3 separate regions of the Mus musculus genome follow, and regions 1 and 3 are each reported to be linked to region 2. The links are microRNA targets in miRTarBase. Many come from high-throughput screens and were not tested one by one. Region 2 holds a microRNA gene; each other region holds the end of a gene's coding sequence.

The links. The annotated mature microRNA mmu-miR-497a-5p reads CAGCAGCACACUGUGGUUUGUA and lies in region 2 at 3,301-3,322, shown strand. An mRNA with a match to its seed (bases 2 to 7 or 8) in the 3' UTR can be bound and repressed. Matches are read on the target gene's strand: a 7mer-m8 pairs with bases 2 to 8, a 7mer-A1 pairs with bases 2 to 7 and ends in A, and an 8mer does both.
Region 1: miRTarBase lists Sorcs2 as a target of mmu-miR-497a-5p. Seed matches in the 3' UTR shown: 7mer-m8 at 1,549-1,555, 7mer-m8 at 1,552-1,558, 7mer-m8 at 1,555-1,561, 7mer-m8 at 1,558-1,564 and 7mer-m8 at 1,561-1,567.
Region 3: miRTarBase lists Pacsin2 as a target of mmu-miR-497a-5p. Seed matches in the 3' UTR shown: 7mer-m8 at 2,538-2,544, 7mer-m8 at 2,541-2,547, 7mer-m8 at 2,544-2,550, 7mer-m8 at 2,547-2,553, 7mer-m8 at 2,550-2,556, 7mer-m8 at 2,553-2,559 and 14 more.

Annotation. Positions count from the first base shown.
Region 1 is chr5:36,014,586-36,019,657 of GRCm38, reverse strand. It overlaps Sorcs2 (sortilin-related VPS10 domain containing receptor 2), which reads left to right. Exons shown (of 27, transcript NM_030889.2): 27 at 266-2,478. The coding sequence ends at 330. Among named protein-coding and RNA genes, the nearest start is that of Gm52811, 68 kb to the left of the region's middle.
Region 2 is chr11:70,231,430-70,236,501 of GRCm38, forward strand. It overlaps Mir497 (microRNA 497), which reads left to right and starts at 3,288; the gene lies at 3,288-3,371. It overlaps 0610010K14Rik (RIKEN cDNA 0610010K14 gene), which reads right to left. Exons shown (of 6, transcript NM_145758.1): 4 at 4,595-4,782; 5 at 4,267-4,371; 6 at 3,775-4,035. The coding sequence ends at 4,031. Mir497b (microRNA 497b) reads right to left here and starts at 3,387; the gene lies at 3,263-3,387. Mir195a (microRNA 195a) reads left to right here and starts at 3,613; the gene lies at 3,613-3,706.
Region 3 is chr15:83,373,170-83,378,241 of GRCm38, reverse strand. It overlaps Pacsin2 (protein kinase C and casein kinase substrate in neurons 2), which reads left to right. Exons shown (of 11, transcript NM_001159509.1): 11 at 512-2,635. The coding sequence ends at 624. Among named protein-coding and RNA genes, the nearest start is that of 1700001L05Rik, 8.4 kb to the right of the region's middle.

The sequences.
Region 1 (5,072 bases), not on the chromosome of region 2:
GCTGCCGATGCCAGGGGTAGCCCTCACACAGGTCAGTGGGTGCCTCACTACACATTCCTCCGGACCACTGCTTGTGGAGGCACCTGGCACTTCCCTCCTGTTACCACATAGGGCACTGGAGACCCCACCTCCACCTGCACCTAGCTGCACAGGCTGAGGGAACCTCACTGCATGTTGGCCCCATGTGCTGCTGAGGTCACCTGTGTTCCTGTGTGGTCTGTTTCCCACCAACCTCACTAATGGGCTGCATTCTCCTGTTCCCTAGGCAACCACTCAGGGGTGGTCCTGAGCATCAACTCTCGTGAGATGCATAGCTACCTGGTGGGCTGATGGCACCAGCTGGCCAGGACACTCTCCTCCTGCTTCCTCCGGAGAGGGCACAGGACCACAACTGCAGCTGGAATGACACACCCTCTGAGACCCGTGGAAAGGCCAACTCCTCTAGCTGTCCCCACTCAGAGGACAGACACTTCTCCCTGTCAGCCCCAGCTGGCCCATGGGATCCTGGGACAGCCGACTCATGACCCACCTGGACACGGGCCTGTGGTGCCACACAGAGTCCCCACCCTTGACTCTGAGGCATCACAGTCCTTAGACCTGAACATGCTGCCCTGGTTACTCCATCTTGCCACTGCAGCCCAGGCCTGGCTTCTCCTGCCTGGGGCTGGACCAGCCTATTTCTGGGGTGAGCCTGCAGCCACCACCACCCCCACTCCAGACTTGTAGCCTGCTCAGCCCTGGCCCCACAGTCCCTGTCCCTGCAGAGGACCCCAGAGTCAGGAAGTCTCTGGGCCAGACCAACCCAACACCACCTTCCAGGAAGCCACTCTCTCCACTGCAGTGTAAATACCTGCCCGGGTAGAGCTATTTGAGTTTGGGGGCTCTTTCTTTTAGCTTTCTGTTTTCAAGGCAGGCAATAGAAGCCATCTTCGATCCATCAGAATCCCACTCTCAGAACCCCTCTTTCAGAATGCCCAGAGCTGGGCCTAGAGGGGCAACTATCTCTCTGATTTTCCCTCAGGGCTACAGGGTTAGAGGCAAGAAAAGAAGGGACCCTTACATGCAATTCCTGCTCCATCCAGCAGGATGTGCCCTTCTACAGCTTCTAGGCTGATGGCTGGCTTCCGGTCAGGTCTGGGCTTTAGAAGAGACTACAGGCCCCAGAAAGGCACATTAGTAGAACACATCAGGCTCTGATGCCCTATGGTTTGAGGAACCCTTGTAAGAACCAACCAGAAGAGGGGTGGGAGGGCAGCATCTCCTGGGAAAACGAACTAGAGGATCCAGAGCCTTGTGGCCCTTTCACGGTCAGAGAAAGAAAGCAGCAGAGGTAGCCCTAGAGTCGCCTGCTGCCTGCTCCTACGGCCAAGTCAGGGACCCAGCACAGGTTGACACTGTGAGCTGGCATCATTCACCTTTTGCCTTGAAACTGAAGTCAGTATTCCCTTCCCTTCCCCTCCTCTTCCATCCTCTCACCTCCAGACTCTTGCTGCCCTACCAGAGAGCCCAGGCTGGCCTGGAGCGAGGCCCGGGTGTCTCAACACCCACTGCTGCTGCTGCTGCTGCTGTTTGGCACACTCACCAGCACCCATCAGTTCTCCCTAAGGAAGAAATGTGACCCATATAGAAGAAGAGGTCTCAGACAGACCCTCACAGGACAGCTCCAGCACTTAGTCTCTCTGTTAAGGACTGGGCTGGGTGTCTGTCTATACGCTCGTCATAGACAGGACAGCACAGAGCAGGGTAGCTATGGGGGGCACAAAGCTGGTCTGTGGGAGTGTCTCAACTGTACCCCAATATCTCTCACTTTCTGCCACTCTCTGGGGCTCAGGGGTCTCTGCAGAGGTAACTGCGGGCTGTCCTCCTTGGGAGGGGCTACAAATGGGACCCTAGTGCCAGTGAAGGTCATGACACTCTAAGACTTTTGCCCCACATACCTTCTTGCTATCTCAAATGAAACCTAAGCAGAGACCTTTTCCCCATCTGTATCCCCACAGCATGGAAGTACCACCCAGTACCACACAGAGGAGATGCTCACACACGACAGTCTCCATAAGGCCCAAGGTCAGCACAGAACCCCTGGACATAGCCCGCCACTTTAGCTCACCAGTGCCTGGGGTGCCTTCCTCGAGCACGCTCTCACTCTCAAGGACACGGGCAGGCTTACCCTAGCTATTTGGGTTTTTTGTTACTATTTCTATTTGAACATTTGGAGCGTATAGACCCAAGATCCTCCCTGTTCTCATCTCCATCACTGCAGATGGCCATGCAGGCACAGGGTTTCCCTGCCTATCAGCTGAGGTGCCGTGCATTATACAGCCAGGGGCAAAAGCCCAGCTCAGGGGCTCATATCACTCTCCACCAGGCCCTGAGCTTACCTGACATGTGGGCATAGCAGAGGTGATGAGTTCTTTGTTTTTCCTTTATATAAAAAAAAGAAACAATAAATCATTTGTGATGCTTTTAACAAAGGTTAAATCAACAGGGTCGGTCTCTGCCTTAGTGTGAAGATCTGCTTTATGCTTTCCGTGTAACATGGCTCACACCACACCCATGAAAACATACATCCCACCTGTACCAAACAAATAGGCTCTGCTCTACCTTAGCATTAAGACGCGATTCATGTTTACCTGTAATACACAGACCACACATACCACCACACACACATTGGCCTCTCACACACCACATCATACATACCACCCCACAACATCACACACACACACACACACACACACACACACACACACACACACAAACATGGTCCATGTCTTAGTCAGGGTTTCTATTCCTGTACAAACATCATGACCAAGAAGCAAGTTGGGGAGGAAAGGGTTTATTTGGCTTACATTTCCATACTGCTGTTCATCACCAAAGGAAGTCAGGACAGGAACTCAAGCAGGTCAGGAAGCAGGAGCTGATGAAGAAGCCATGGAGGGATGTTACTTACTGGCTTGCTCAGCCTGCTCTCTTAAGAACCAAGACTACCAGCCCAGAGATGGTCCCACCCACAGGGGGCCTTTCCCCCTTGATCACTAATTGAGAAAATGCCTTACAATTGGATCTTATGGAAGCATTTCCTCAACTGAAGCTCCTTTCTCTGTGATAACTCCAGCTATGTCAAGTTGACACAAAACTAGACAGTACAATTGACCCCTTGTCAACTTGACACACAAACACACATCACTAGTAAGCCTCAACCCTTACATTCTTACTCATCCCCAAGGTCTAAATAACTTTAAACATCTCACAGTCTTTACATATTCTTAAATTTTCAATCTCTTTAAAATATCCATCTCTTTTAAAATCCAAAGTCTTTTTACAATTAAAAGTCTCTTAACTGTGGGGCTCCACTAAAATATTTTCTTCCTTCAAGAGGGAAAATATCAGGGCACAATCAAAAGCAAAAATCAATCTCCAACCATCCAATGTCTGGGATCCAACTCACGATCTTCTGGGCTCCTCCAAGGGCTTGGGTCACTTCTCCAGCCATGCCCTTTGTAGCACACATGTCGTCCTCTAGGCTCCAGATGTCTGTACTCCACTGCTGCTGCTCTTGGTGGTCATCTCATGGTACTGGCATCTCCAAAACACTGCATGACCCCTTCAGTCCTGGGCCATCAATTGCAACTGAGGCTGAACCTTCACCAATGGCCTTCCATGGCCTCTCACAGTGCCGAGCCTCAGCTGCTCTGCGTGACTCCTTCATGCCTTCAAAACCAGTACCACCTGGGTGACTCTTACACATTACCAAGTCCAGCCACAGCACAAGGTACAGTCTTGGCTATCTCTGGAACACAGCCTCTGTGCTCTCAGAAAACACTTCCCAGAAGATGTCACCTCAATGATGCTGGTCTCTTCTTAATCACCACTAATTTCTAAGCTCCAGCTAACCAGCATCAATAGTTCCAGTAATGCAAAGTTTTTGCTTTAGTAGTTCTGGTATCTTGTTAATCACAGATGATTCTTCAGCCCCAGCTAACCAGAACTACAGAATCTTCACAAAGTAACAATGGCCCTGAAAAGAGTCTTTTAATTTTCCCTCTGAAATTTCACAAGCCAGGCCTCCATCTTTTGCACTGTTCTCAACATTATCTTCCAAGCTCCTACACAACATCCCACAGAGCTCTTAACACCGAATGGATCCAAAGTCCTTCCACAGTCGTCCCCAAAACATGGCCAGGTTGTCACAGGAATACCCTATTCTGCTGGTACCAATTTGTCTTAGTCAGAGTTTCTATTCCTGCACAAACATCATGACCAAGAAGCAAGTTAGGGAGGAAAGGGTTTATTCAGCTTACACTTCCATACTGCTGTTCATCACCAAAGGAAGTCAGGACTGGAACTCACACAGGTCAGGAAGCAGGAGCTGATGCAGAGGCCATGGAGGGATGTTCTTTACTGGCTTGCTTCCCCTGGCTTGCTCAGCCTGCTCTCTTAAGAACCAAGACTACCAGCCCAGAGATGGTCCCACCCACAAGGGGCCTTTCCCCCTTGATCACTAATTGAGAAAATGCCTTACAGTTGGATCTCATGGAGGCATTTCCTCAATTGAAGCTCCTTTCTCTGTGATAACTCCAGCTGTGTCAAGTTGACAAAAAACTAGCCAGTACAGTCCATATCTACCTTAGTGTGAAGACGTGGTTAGTTCCTCTATACCACATGTACCACAACCTCACTACACATATACCATACCATACACCCATGCATCAGGGAAAATGCCAGCCTAGGGGGTTTCTGGGTTCGTTCCCTGGCACAGACAGATAACGGAACTCATCAGAGAGCAGAAGAGCATGCCATGGAGAGAGTGAATGTACCTTGTGAGGGGAAAGACCTAGGGCTGGGAGTCCCTAAACAAACACTGAGTTGGGTGTTTTCTAGGCCCCTTGGTTACTCCCGTTTACTTATTGGTCCTCCTGTGCCTTCCCAATGTTTCTTCTCACAATGAATTCTGGGAACAAGAAGCTGCCATCCCAGAGAGCCTGCTCTTGATTTATCAGTTTACTTCTGGCCCTTTAACTCTCTTTCATTTCCCGCCTCTCAGAGATGTTCAACAAACGTTGGCGTGGTGGGAG
Region 2 (5,072 bases):
AATTTGAGGTGAAAACATTAAGGGCTTTGATGTCAGGACAGAGTTAGCTATTCTGAGTTTTGGGGTGTCACTTGCCATAGAAGTTATTGTAGTCAATAAGGCCTGTTTTTAGTCTCGACAGCTGATAGCAAATTGGAGGTGCGGGGCTGGTTTTAAAGATGTCTTAGTTCGGGGGTTTGGAGGGATTTGATGCTCCCATGTGAGACTGTCCATCTCTAATTTCTGGTCTACTGGGGGAGCATGAGTACGCAACTAATTTGGGGGACATAGTCTCTTTCCAAGTGCTGTTTCAAGGTTTGGATGAGATTGTTTGGGGACATAAAGGTCAACTTGGGGCTTTTTAGAGAGCCCAGTTACATTGAGTTGGTGGCAGAGCCAGAAGCTAGGAGAGGATCTGAAGGCTTTCTGTAGCTGAGAGCTTGATTGATGGGGGGGCAAAGTTTTGTATTTGAATCTTGTGGAAACTCATTTTGAGGGTTGGATATTCCTGTGAACATGTTTATGTGTGAAACTCCTCCACAGGAGAGAATTGAGAAGCCCCCCCAGGGTAGAAGGATAGTTTGGGGGGTATCCAGTTTCTGGGTGTTTTGCCACTGGCCACATTTGGTGAAGCTGAGAGGTGGGTCATAAATTGAAATTGATTTGGAGGTTCACCTATTCTAAAGCACACTTCTGACTTAGGTTATCTTTTGCTGATAGTCCCCTGGCACCCCAGATTGTAAAAAAAATTAGTGAACCCCCAAATAAGGCCAGAATTTGAAGGGTGAAGCCTGGAAAAAGCAGTGTGGTCCATCATAGACTCACTGGAATATGACCTGTTGTGCTAAGGGGGGAAAGGTGGCTTCATACTCTGAACCCCGATTTCTTATGGAAGAAAAAATCCGTTTGGAGGAGATGGGGTGTCTCTTGTTAAAGTGGGTACTTTCTGACTAACAGTGCTGCTGAAACTGGCAAGGAAAGGCTGTGATGGTCTACAAGGGGGGGGTGAATCTTGCACCCTGATATTTTAAGATAAGAGCCCCAAAGAGAAAGCAGACAGAGGATTGGGAATGAGGGTGAACTGAGAGGCGGGGGAGGGGTTTCCAACGGCAGCAGGGGCTAGAGGGTAAGCCAGGCCAGATATTCCCGCCTAGGTCCCTGCTCTCTTCGGCTCTCCTCCCCTCTCTCCCTCCCACCGCCCACCCCCCCAACTCAAGGAAAAAAAAACTGCCTGTGCAATAGCAATGGCAGATTCCAGTCCTCCAGGCTTTCCTAAACCACCACCGAGACCAGCCAGGGGGGAGGGGAGGGGAGGGGAGGATCGGGCTTTCCTGCTTCCTTGAGACAGGGGCAATGAGCTTGACCTCTTGGCCCCTAGCCTTCTAAAGAGTGTCCCCCGGTCTGGAAACCAGGTGTCCTGGACCCTAGCCCCCAAGCGGGGGGGCCTGGAGAAACGGGGAGGAGGAAGGAGGGAGTGACTTCCAAAATTGGCATCGGGACAGAGCAGGGCTGGCGGGAGGCAGGAGAAAGACAGAATTTTCCTGAAAAAACGGGGGTATCTAAGGACCCCAAATTTGGGTAGCTAGTTCAGGACCATCTTCCCAACATCCTAGATTTTTTTGGGATTTTTTGGGGGCCCCGGGATCCCTCTAGATGGGGTGAGGAATGTAGTGTTGGGGGAATCTGACTGGGGCAATGCAGCTGCCTCTCCCGCCGAGTTGGAGACGGATGGGCTGGGACGGGTTTTGGGGGGGTGTCCCCAGTTCTGACTGGGAGTGGAGGAACCCCTCCAGAGCTCTCTTGTGGGGGTCCCCCACCCCAGGGCACTCCCCAGTCCTTGAGCCAGCTGAGAGGAAGGAGGCCAGCGATGCGACTGGGGCGTCTCTTTTCTCCTGCACCCCAAATGTGAGGGATGCACCCCAAAATTTGCTCCTTTCAAAATAGGGGACCAGGATCTCAGGGGAGAGTAGCTGAGGTAAGTGGGGAGGAAAGTGTCCCCTGTTTTCAGGAGAGACGTGGCGGTTGGGGGGGAGGTTTGGAGGTGCGTGCTGGGGTGGGGTTGCGCCTTGTAACTCTTGAAATTGGGGGGATGACCAGAGAAGCTTTCTCTTGTACCCCTAAGACGTAGCACCTCATACTGAAACCAAAGCTTGAGACTTGAGAGCCCCCAATATTCCTACAGACATTAGGACAGTGTTTGCTTTTTTTTTTTTTTAGCCCCACAAAAGCTTTGCTGGGATGGGAGCTGGGGGACAGCAGTTGTTTCTGGGGGTCCAGGAGGGTGCAAGGAGCAGGAGGCGTTGGCAGGGCTTGATATAGGTGATCTGGTAGTCTTGGAGAGGGTCTGGCATACTAGGGGGGCCTAAAAAGATTGCTTCACACACCATCTTAAATCTTTTGATTGCTAAGAGTTTTGGGGGGGTGTGTCGGAAGCCTGGTGGTGCTAAAAGGTGGGATGAGATATGGGAGGTTAATATCTAGGGTTTACAGAGTTTTGTTTTGTTTTGAAATTTCCAGAAGAAACTTTTGCCTTCTGGGAGGTTCTTTTTAAAATCAAGTCTTGGACAGGAGGAAAGGGCTATGGGAAGGCCTAGGGTTGGGGGTGGGGAAAAGGCATGTTTGTCTTTGCTTAAACGTGGCTCTCAGGGGTGGGCCTGCTTGCCTGGGCCTGGTGAATGGGCTAATGAGTGTTGCTGTGTGGGTGGGGCGTGGGTCTTGGGGGACCATGGGGAATGGAAGCAGCACTTGGGGTTGAATACTTTGCCCTCTGGTCCAGATGAGCCTCTTCCTGGGCTCTGCTGCATCCCTTTCTCCCTGGCCTCCATTTCCTGCCTTTGGCCTCCATCTTGTGGCAGGCCCAGGGCCCAGGGCGACTTCCGGCCCCCCTCTCTCAACCGTGTTCCAGCCCCACCACCTCTGGACTGCCAACTCCCAACCCTGCTGTCCTTGGCCCTGTGTCTTCCAGCATTTCTCTTGGGTTCTGACCTAGGGAGGGAGGAATGGACACAGGAAACCTTAGGTCCCTGCCTTTGTGGGAGGCAGTTTGTTGGTCTTCCCCAGTCATCCCGTTTCCTAAGGATCCCCAGAGCTGAATTCCTACAGAGGTGAAGAATGCTCCAAGCTTATCACATTGGACTCATCTGCCAGGGCCCTATCCTTTGCCTGCTAAACTACTTTTGCTGGTTCCTGATTGTTCCCCCCCCCCAGCTTTTTTGGGGGGCCATGTTTGCCATTCACACCTCTGTCTCACTCTAGGTGGGGGTCTTCACGGCACTGCCTGTGCTGTCTTCCTCTCGACCCACCCCAGTCCTGCCCCCGCCCCAGCAGCACACTGTGGTTTGTACGGCACTGTGGCCACGTCCAAACCACACTGTGGTGTTAGAGCGAGGGTATGGGAGGCACCGATGAGCCTGGCCCTGGGAGGCCACCCTGGAGAAGCAACACACACACACACACACACACACACACACACACACACACACCGTCTAGGGTATTGTGATGAAGTTCTTGCAAGGTGGGACAGGAGACACTGGAAAGAGCCCCTCTGCAACCCCCAGGTTGTCTGATACCAGTTATCAGGAACCCTGGTAATGAGTTCTGGCCCCACAGAGCAAAGTAGAGTCTTTGTTGCCCACACCCAACTCTCCTGGCTCTAGCAGCACAGAAATATTGGCATGGGGAAGTGAGTCTGCCAATATTGGCTGTGCTGCTCCAGGCAGGGTGGTGAGAGCTACTGAGAAGGGGCCAAGCCCCGAGGGCGAAGCAGAGGAGAGGGAACGGCAGCTGGCAGCACCATGTTGAGAGAATCTTTTTTAATTATAATTTTCTGTATAAAAATGTCCATCACACAGAAGTCAAAGGGCGAGGGCACATGGTTATCAGGAACGAGGTGGATGGCTCCAGCAGCCCTCTGACCCTCTCTCAGGCAGTCCTTGCTTAGAGTCCCAGGTGATCCACAGGTCCAGGGTGAACAATGAGGGTCAGAGGTGGAAGGCTCAGCAGGAGAGGAGAGGAGCATCAGCGGAGGTGGTGAGGAGGCCAGAGTCCAGGGTCAGGCTGTCTGGAACAGGAAGGAAAACGGACAGAGATGGAGCAAGCGTGGAGGATTTTTCCAAGAAAACCCTCACCTCCTCAAACGCCGTATTACTAACTGACCCATTCCCCTGCACTGAATCTTCCTTCTGAGGCCCCTGCACCAGAAAGGGGTTTTCTGTGGGGACCCTCCCCTACCATCCAGGTGAGTATGTTCCCCACCCCCAGCCAGCGTGGGAGGAGGAGGACTCCTACCCTGGTCAAAGTTGAGTTTCTTGGCTGGAGGAGTTTCTCCTAGCCCTTCGACATCCACCAGGTCACTGTTGGCGTCGGAGTCGTTCAGAGCACTGAGTGTCACATCTGGGAGGGGGCATAGGCTAAGTTCTAGGTTTCCCTGACTGCTGTCTTTCCCTCCTCCCAGTCTGCCAAAGCTTCATGCTCTACACATCCCTCTACCCACTCTGGAATCACCAGCGTACAGAAGAGAAGCGTCTCTCCTTCTTTGACCCAGGCCCAATTCTCTTATTGAATCTCAGATAGGACCTTTAACCCCTACCCTAGGCAGCAACTCCACAGCCCTCACCAGCCTTCTGTTTCTTTATGGGAGGAACCCCAGCTTCAGGGACACTGGAGCTGCTGGGTGGAGGGGCGTTTGGAGGTGAGAGGACACCGGACGTCATCTTCTTGGGTCCTTTCTTGGGTGACTCAGCTGGAAGGGGGATGCCGGAGTCTTCATACACTTTTCGCTTCACAGTGGTCTTTATCTGAGCCCTGAAGATGAGAGAGAGCAGATTAGGGTGTCATCAGAGAAGCCGAGGGAAGAGGGGAGGGGAGGGAATAATGGGCCACTCTGAAGGAATTCTAGGAGTTCCTTTGTAGATATCCAGGTCAAGGCCCCAGTTCATGTGTAATAAGGGTCCTCCCCCCCCCCCCCACGTTCAGAACTTTTGCATCCACTTAGGGCTAATAGATTAAGATGAATGGAGTCCCTGAACTGAGTGGCCAGAAAGGCCCTTTTCATGATCCTCTGGGAGAGATGCATGGTTTTGTAGGACCACCAG
Region 3 (5,072 bases), not on the chromosome of region 2:
AGCTCCTGTGTTGTGACTCTCTGCTCCTCATATGTTAGCATCTGCTGGTCTCCTTGTCTGCAGATAGAAGTGTCTAGTGAGCAGATATGTTGGCCCCGGTCTCTGCCAGGCCAGTAGTGGCTCAAAGTCCCAGAAACACCTTGAGCCACCGCACAGAATGAAAACATGGGGCATGTTGCCGAGCAGAGCAGCCTAGGACACATGGGGTAGGCACAAGGCTTGAACCTGGAACGGTTCTAGCCTGGACTGCTGCTTGCTCCAGGGTTGCTCTGAGGGCTGCCATCTTCAGATCACAGTGACCTCTGTGTCAGAAGCTTTGAATACAAATTAGTAGTGAATATCCAGGGTCCTGCCTTACCTTCAGGAGGACGCCTGTCCCTCTGCCCTGGAGACCTTCTGTGGATCCTTCTAGAAGCATGTTTCATATCCACATGGGATTTGTATGCACAGATGACTTGCTGTGGTCAGTGTTGCCCCCTGTCACTAAGGCCACCCTCTTTTTGTCTTGCAGGGGATGAACTGACCAAGATAGAGGATGAAGATGAACAGGGTTGGTGCAAGGGACGTTTAGACAGCGGCCAGGTTGGCCTATACCCAGCCAACTATGTCGAGGCTATCCAGTGACAGCCCATGGGCAGGCTGGCGGAGAGACGGAAATGGGCAGTTCAGGAGCTCCGTTAGCCTTGGCCTGGGCAGTGACACCTCTAGTGCCCCCAGCAGCCATGTAGGCATCCACTCCACCTGCAAAAGACGATGGCTCTGTTGTTCTTGGCTTCCTGGTGTGCTTTGAAGGCAGATGAGCTGGTGATTTCATTGGGCACTTGGCCCTTTTCCAAGCACATCTGGGCAGATATAGACACAGGAAGATAGGGTCCAACAGCGAGAGCCAGGCCCCTCCCCACCCCCACCAGCTCTCTCTATCATGGATCTGCACCTTCTCGCCCTTGTCTCTCCTGAGTCATGACGGGTCATACTGATTCTTGTTCCACTGATGATTTTCTCTGATGAGGTCCTATCTGCAAGGTCAATGAGCAGACTTACATGCCATCTTCTGAGTAAAGAGTTTGAGGTTTTAATTTAAAGGCAATGTACAGCTATACTTTTTTATATGCTCTTCCAGTCAGTTAAATTATGGCCTACACTGATCTGAGATGTTCTCCACGTGAGCTGTCTTCATTTCTCTGTGCTATGTCCAGATGTGGGGTTGCTGCAGCCGGGGTTCTATGGCAAGTGCCAGTTGCAGGGCTAACCTTGTGCAACGTTCCCCAACACTTCCACATACAGAAATTATTTTCACTCTATCCCTGCTTCAGTTTTTGCAGATTAACAGTTCTATTAGTGATTTGGAAAGTTAACAGTAAGAAGACTAACTTTTCAAAACAGTTGCATCTGTAGATTAAGATGCTTTACATTAGACCGTTGTGTCTCGATGTATATCTGTATATATTATTTGATAATCAGAAAATCTATAGAGTTCACCCACTGTTGAATGAGAGCTGGTGGCTTCTGACAGCAGATCTGGTCAACTGCTTGAAGCCCATGGCATTGAAGCACAGGCACGGCTGGTTAACGGTGCCCACCCAGTTAGGATGTGGCTCTGGCCTCTGAGTGGAGCTGCTGGGAAGACTGATTCTCATTGGCCTGGGCTCCAAGCTCATGACCGAGCACTGGAAAAGCTCCTAGGACTTGGTAGTAATCGTAGACTTCACAGTCCCTGTGTCACTCACTGGAGAGCTAGAGGGAGGGGTTCGACACCCTCCACCACACACACACACACACACACACACACACACACAAGTTCCTCCAGTTGCCCTTGTCCTCAGGTGCAGTGGGACTGTTGTGAGCCCCAGGGATGGGCACAAAGAGGACTTTTATTTTGTTAGCTCGGACAGTGCAGTGGTGCACATCAGCAACTTGTATTTCTTCGGTGTTTGGCACGAGCACTGTCTCGCTGTGGCTGTGTGTCATGAGAACTTACCAGCAGAAATCCTTGTTCCTAAGCTACAGAATGACCAAAAGCTGTCAAGTCCTTAATGTTTAGAAACTCCTTAAAATGTATAGTATTTTAGAACAACAACAACAAAACTCAATAAACAGTTGATCTTGTGTGTTTGACAGTCCCTTTGCCTTGCATCCACCCTCATGTTCACACAGCTGATAGACCTGTCTCCTTGGGGGTGTACCAGCTTTGAAACTGGGCAAGATCCAGTTCATAGGATCCCTTCTCGGGACCATGTCTCAGTTCCTGCACCAGAGGCTGGGGACTTGGGGCACCTTGGGCATCCCTGAGGAGGGCATCCCTGGTGCCACCCTCTCTCCCCTGACCAACAACCGCTCCTCCCCAAACCTGCGTGTGTTGACCTTTATGTGCCACTGTTCTGTTTTCTCAAGCTGATGATCTCTGGGTGTAATGTGATCAATGCAGGTCCCAGCTGGTCCTGCTCGCACAAAGAACCTCCAAGGATCTTGCCTCCTATTGGGATCAGCTAAGGAGATAAAGCCAGTGCGGTAGCCCTGACCAGTCCCGGTGAACGGACTGCTGCTGCTGCTGCTGCTGCTGCTGCTGCTGCTGCTGCTGCTGCTGCTGCTGCTGCTGCTGCTCTTCAACACTAGTAAAGCTTCTCTCTGGCCTTCCTGCAGTGTCACTTTGCTCAGCAGAAGCAGAGCCTGAGTCTTTGTCCTTTACTCTCTTTGTGTGTCCTCTTTGGGTCCTTTGGGTGTCCTCTGCCCTGCCAGTTTCTGAGCAGTACTTGAGCCTTACCCGCAGGCCACCCGTTGTCTGGGTGGGCGGGCACTGGCTTCTGCCTCTATCTGCTCCAAGCAGCAGAGAGAAAACAAAGTGGGAGAAGGCAGAGGCAGATCTGCCCTCAGCTGACAAGCTGAAAAGTGGGGATATATCTTGAATACCACAGTAAGACTGGGTGTAGGCTGGGGCACCAGGCCAGGTCCTCTTAACACTCCTCTGGCCTGCCGCTGGGTGGCAGGCTGGAGTTAATAGAAAAAAAGGTTTTAGAAGCTGGGCAGGTCAGTGATTTGCCTGGGGCTCTCTGAGCAGACCATAGTCAAAACCCAGCTCTCCTTGCTGTCCTGGGGGCTAGAAGTAGGATGAAATGACCACTCCTGCACGGTCCTTTCTCAACATCTCTATTCAAATAAGGAAGCTTGAGGGTCCTGTACAGCCCTTTTGTTATCTCCTACCCTTCCCTGGAGGTTAAATACAGGAAGCTCACTGTGCACAGTGGCCTCAGTTTTCATAGGAGGATGGGGGTAGGGCACCATAAAACACTACAAGTCCTTGTGGTTATGATCACCTAGGCTGGGGCCAGGACCCTCTGCAGCCTTTGGCTGCTTTTTCTATATCACCCAGCTTGGGATTCCCAGGTTCTCTTGGCCTCCCAAAGCTCCTGCACAGGATCAAAGCTGTTACCACTAGGGCCCCTGAGCTGACTCTAGTGACCAAGCCAGTCAGTCACCAGGGTCTAAGGGAGAGAGTGAGGATTAAAGAAAGAAAAGACAATTAGACAACATTATAATATATGACTCCAACAAGTGCTAAGGCTGAAACAAGTTTAGTTTTTTCCAGTCTGCTTTTATATCATTCTGAGTACATCAAAGAATATGGTCAGTCCTGCCAGGCGTGGTGGCGCATGCCTTTAATCCCAGCACTTGGGAGGCAGAGGCAGGTGGATTTCTGAGTTCGAGGCCAGCCTGGTCGACAAAGTGAGTTCCAGGACAGCCAGAGCTATACAGAGAAACCCTGTCTCGGACCCCCCCCCCCCAAAAAAAAAAAAGATGGTCAGTCCTAAGGCATAAACAAAGTAGTGAAGGAACAAACAAGGCATAAGCAGTTAAGGAACAAAGGTCCCAAGTATTCAGGGTCTTAAGGCTATCAAGATACAATGAACACATTCCTCAGCTGTATTTATCTTGAGCCTACTTCCTTGTCCTAGCCTGATGTCAAATTCTTATCTGAGCCTACTCCTTTGTTCTGGCCCCAATGTAAATACTCTTGCCAAATTCCTAGAAGCCTCCCAAGTGCTCTCTACACTTTAGGTGGAATATTGTGAGCCCCAGACTATACCTGGACAGGAGCTCTAAACCCTGCTCATCTGCACTGTAATGTAAACATGGGGTCTGGCTCTGCTACAGCCCAAGCTCAGACACTGGCCAGAGGTCTATGCAGATGGACGACTTTGCTATCCAAGCCAACCTGCCTCTGCTTGGCTTGGCCTAGCCTTCTCTGAGGAGCCTGTGGGTCTGGGCCATGCAAATGGGTCAGGTTGTTAAGGCAAGCCTGAAGGGGGACTGCTTATACTTCATCTGGATGGGAATAAGGAAGATTTATAAAGGATATTGTAGGCACCATACTAACTCCCTCATGGTTCAGAGGGAAGAGGGAAATTGAGGCCAGATGAGGGGAAGGCAGGACTTGCCAGCAGACATAGCAAGCAGCTAGCAACATATATAAATCAGGTTGCCTCTCCTGGTGGGCAAGAGCTTCATTCATCCACCAGATAGTCAAACACACATAAGCATTTACTGAGTACCTACTGTGTGCTAGATTCCCAACAGCCCAAACCAAATAGAACCAGTTTGTACCCTTGGGAAGGTACCATATCAATCCTTCATGGGGACGAGAATGTCTGGTCGTGTGTGTGGATTCTGGAAGGTTCCAGATAAGAAGACAGGTAGGTGCTCCCAGTCTAGTACTAGATCGGTGAGGCAAAGCACTCCCTGGTTCTTAAACTTTTCCCCAATCCCAGTACAGAGCATCCAGAGTCCTCCTTCCCTCCCTCTCCTCGCTGGACTGCAGAGGACAACACCTCAACACTAGCAAATACCCGAGCCTCATTACTGCAAAGTGAGATCAATTAGGATGACTGTGGGGTGTCTAGGATGTCCAGAAACCAAGAGTCCCAGCAAGGCAGACTCTCTGGGTCATAGCTGTTCTTTGAGCGACCTGCTGTGCCACCACCATCTCTCTCCATGGGCCAAACACTCTCCCCTTTGCCCTCCTGTACAGGATCTTGCCCTGAGTTTTCAAGACAGGATTTCTCCACCCTCTCCATCCA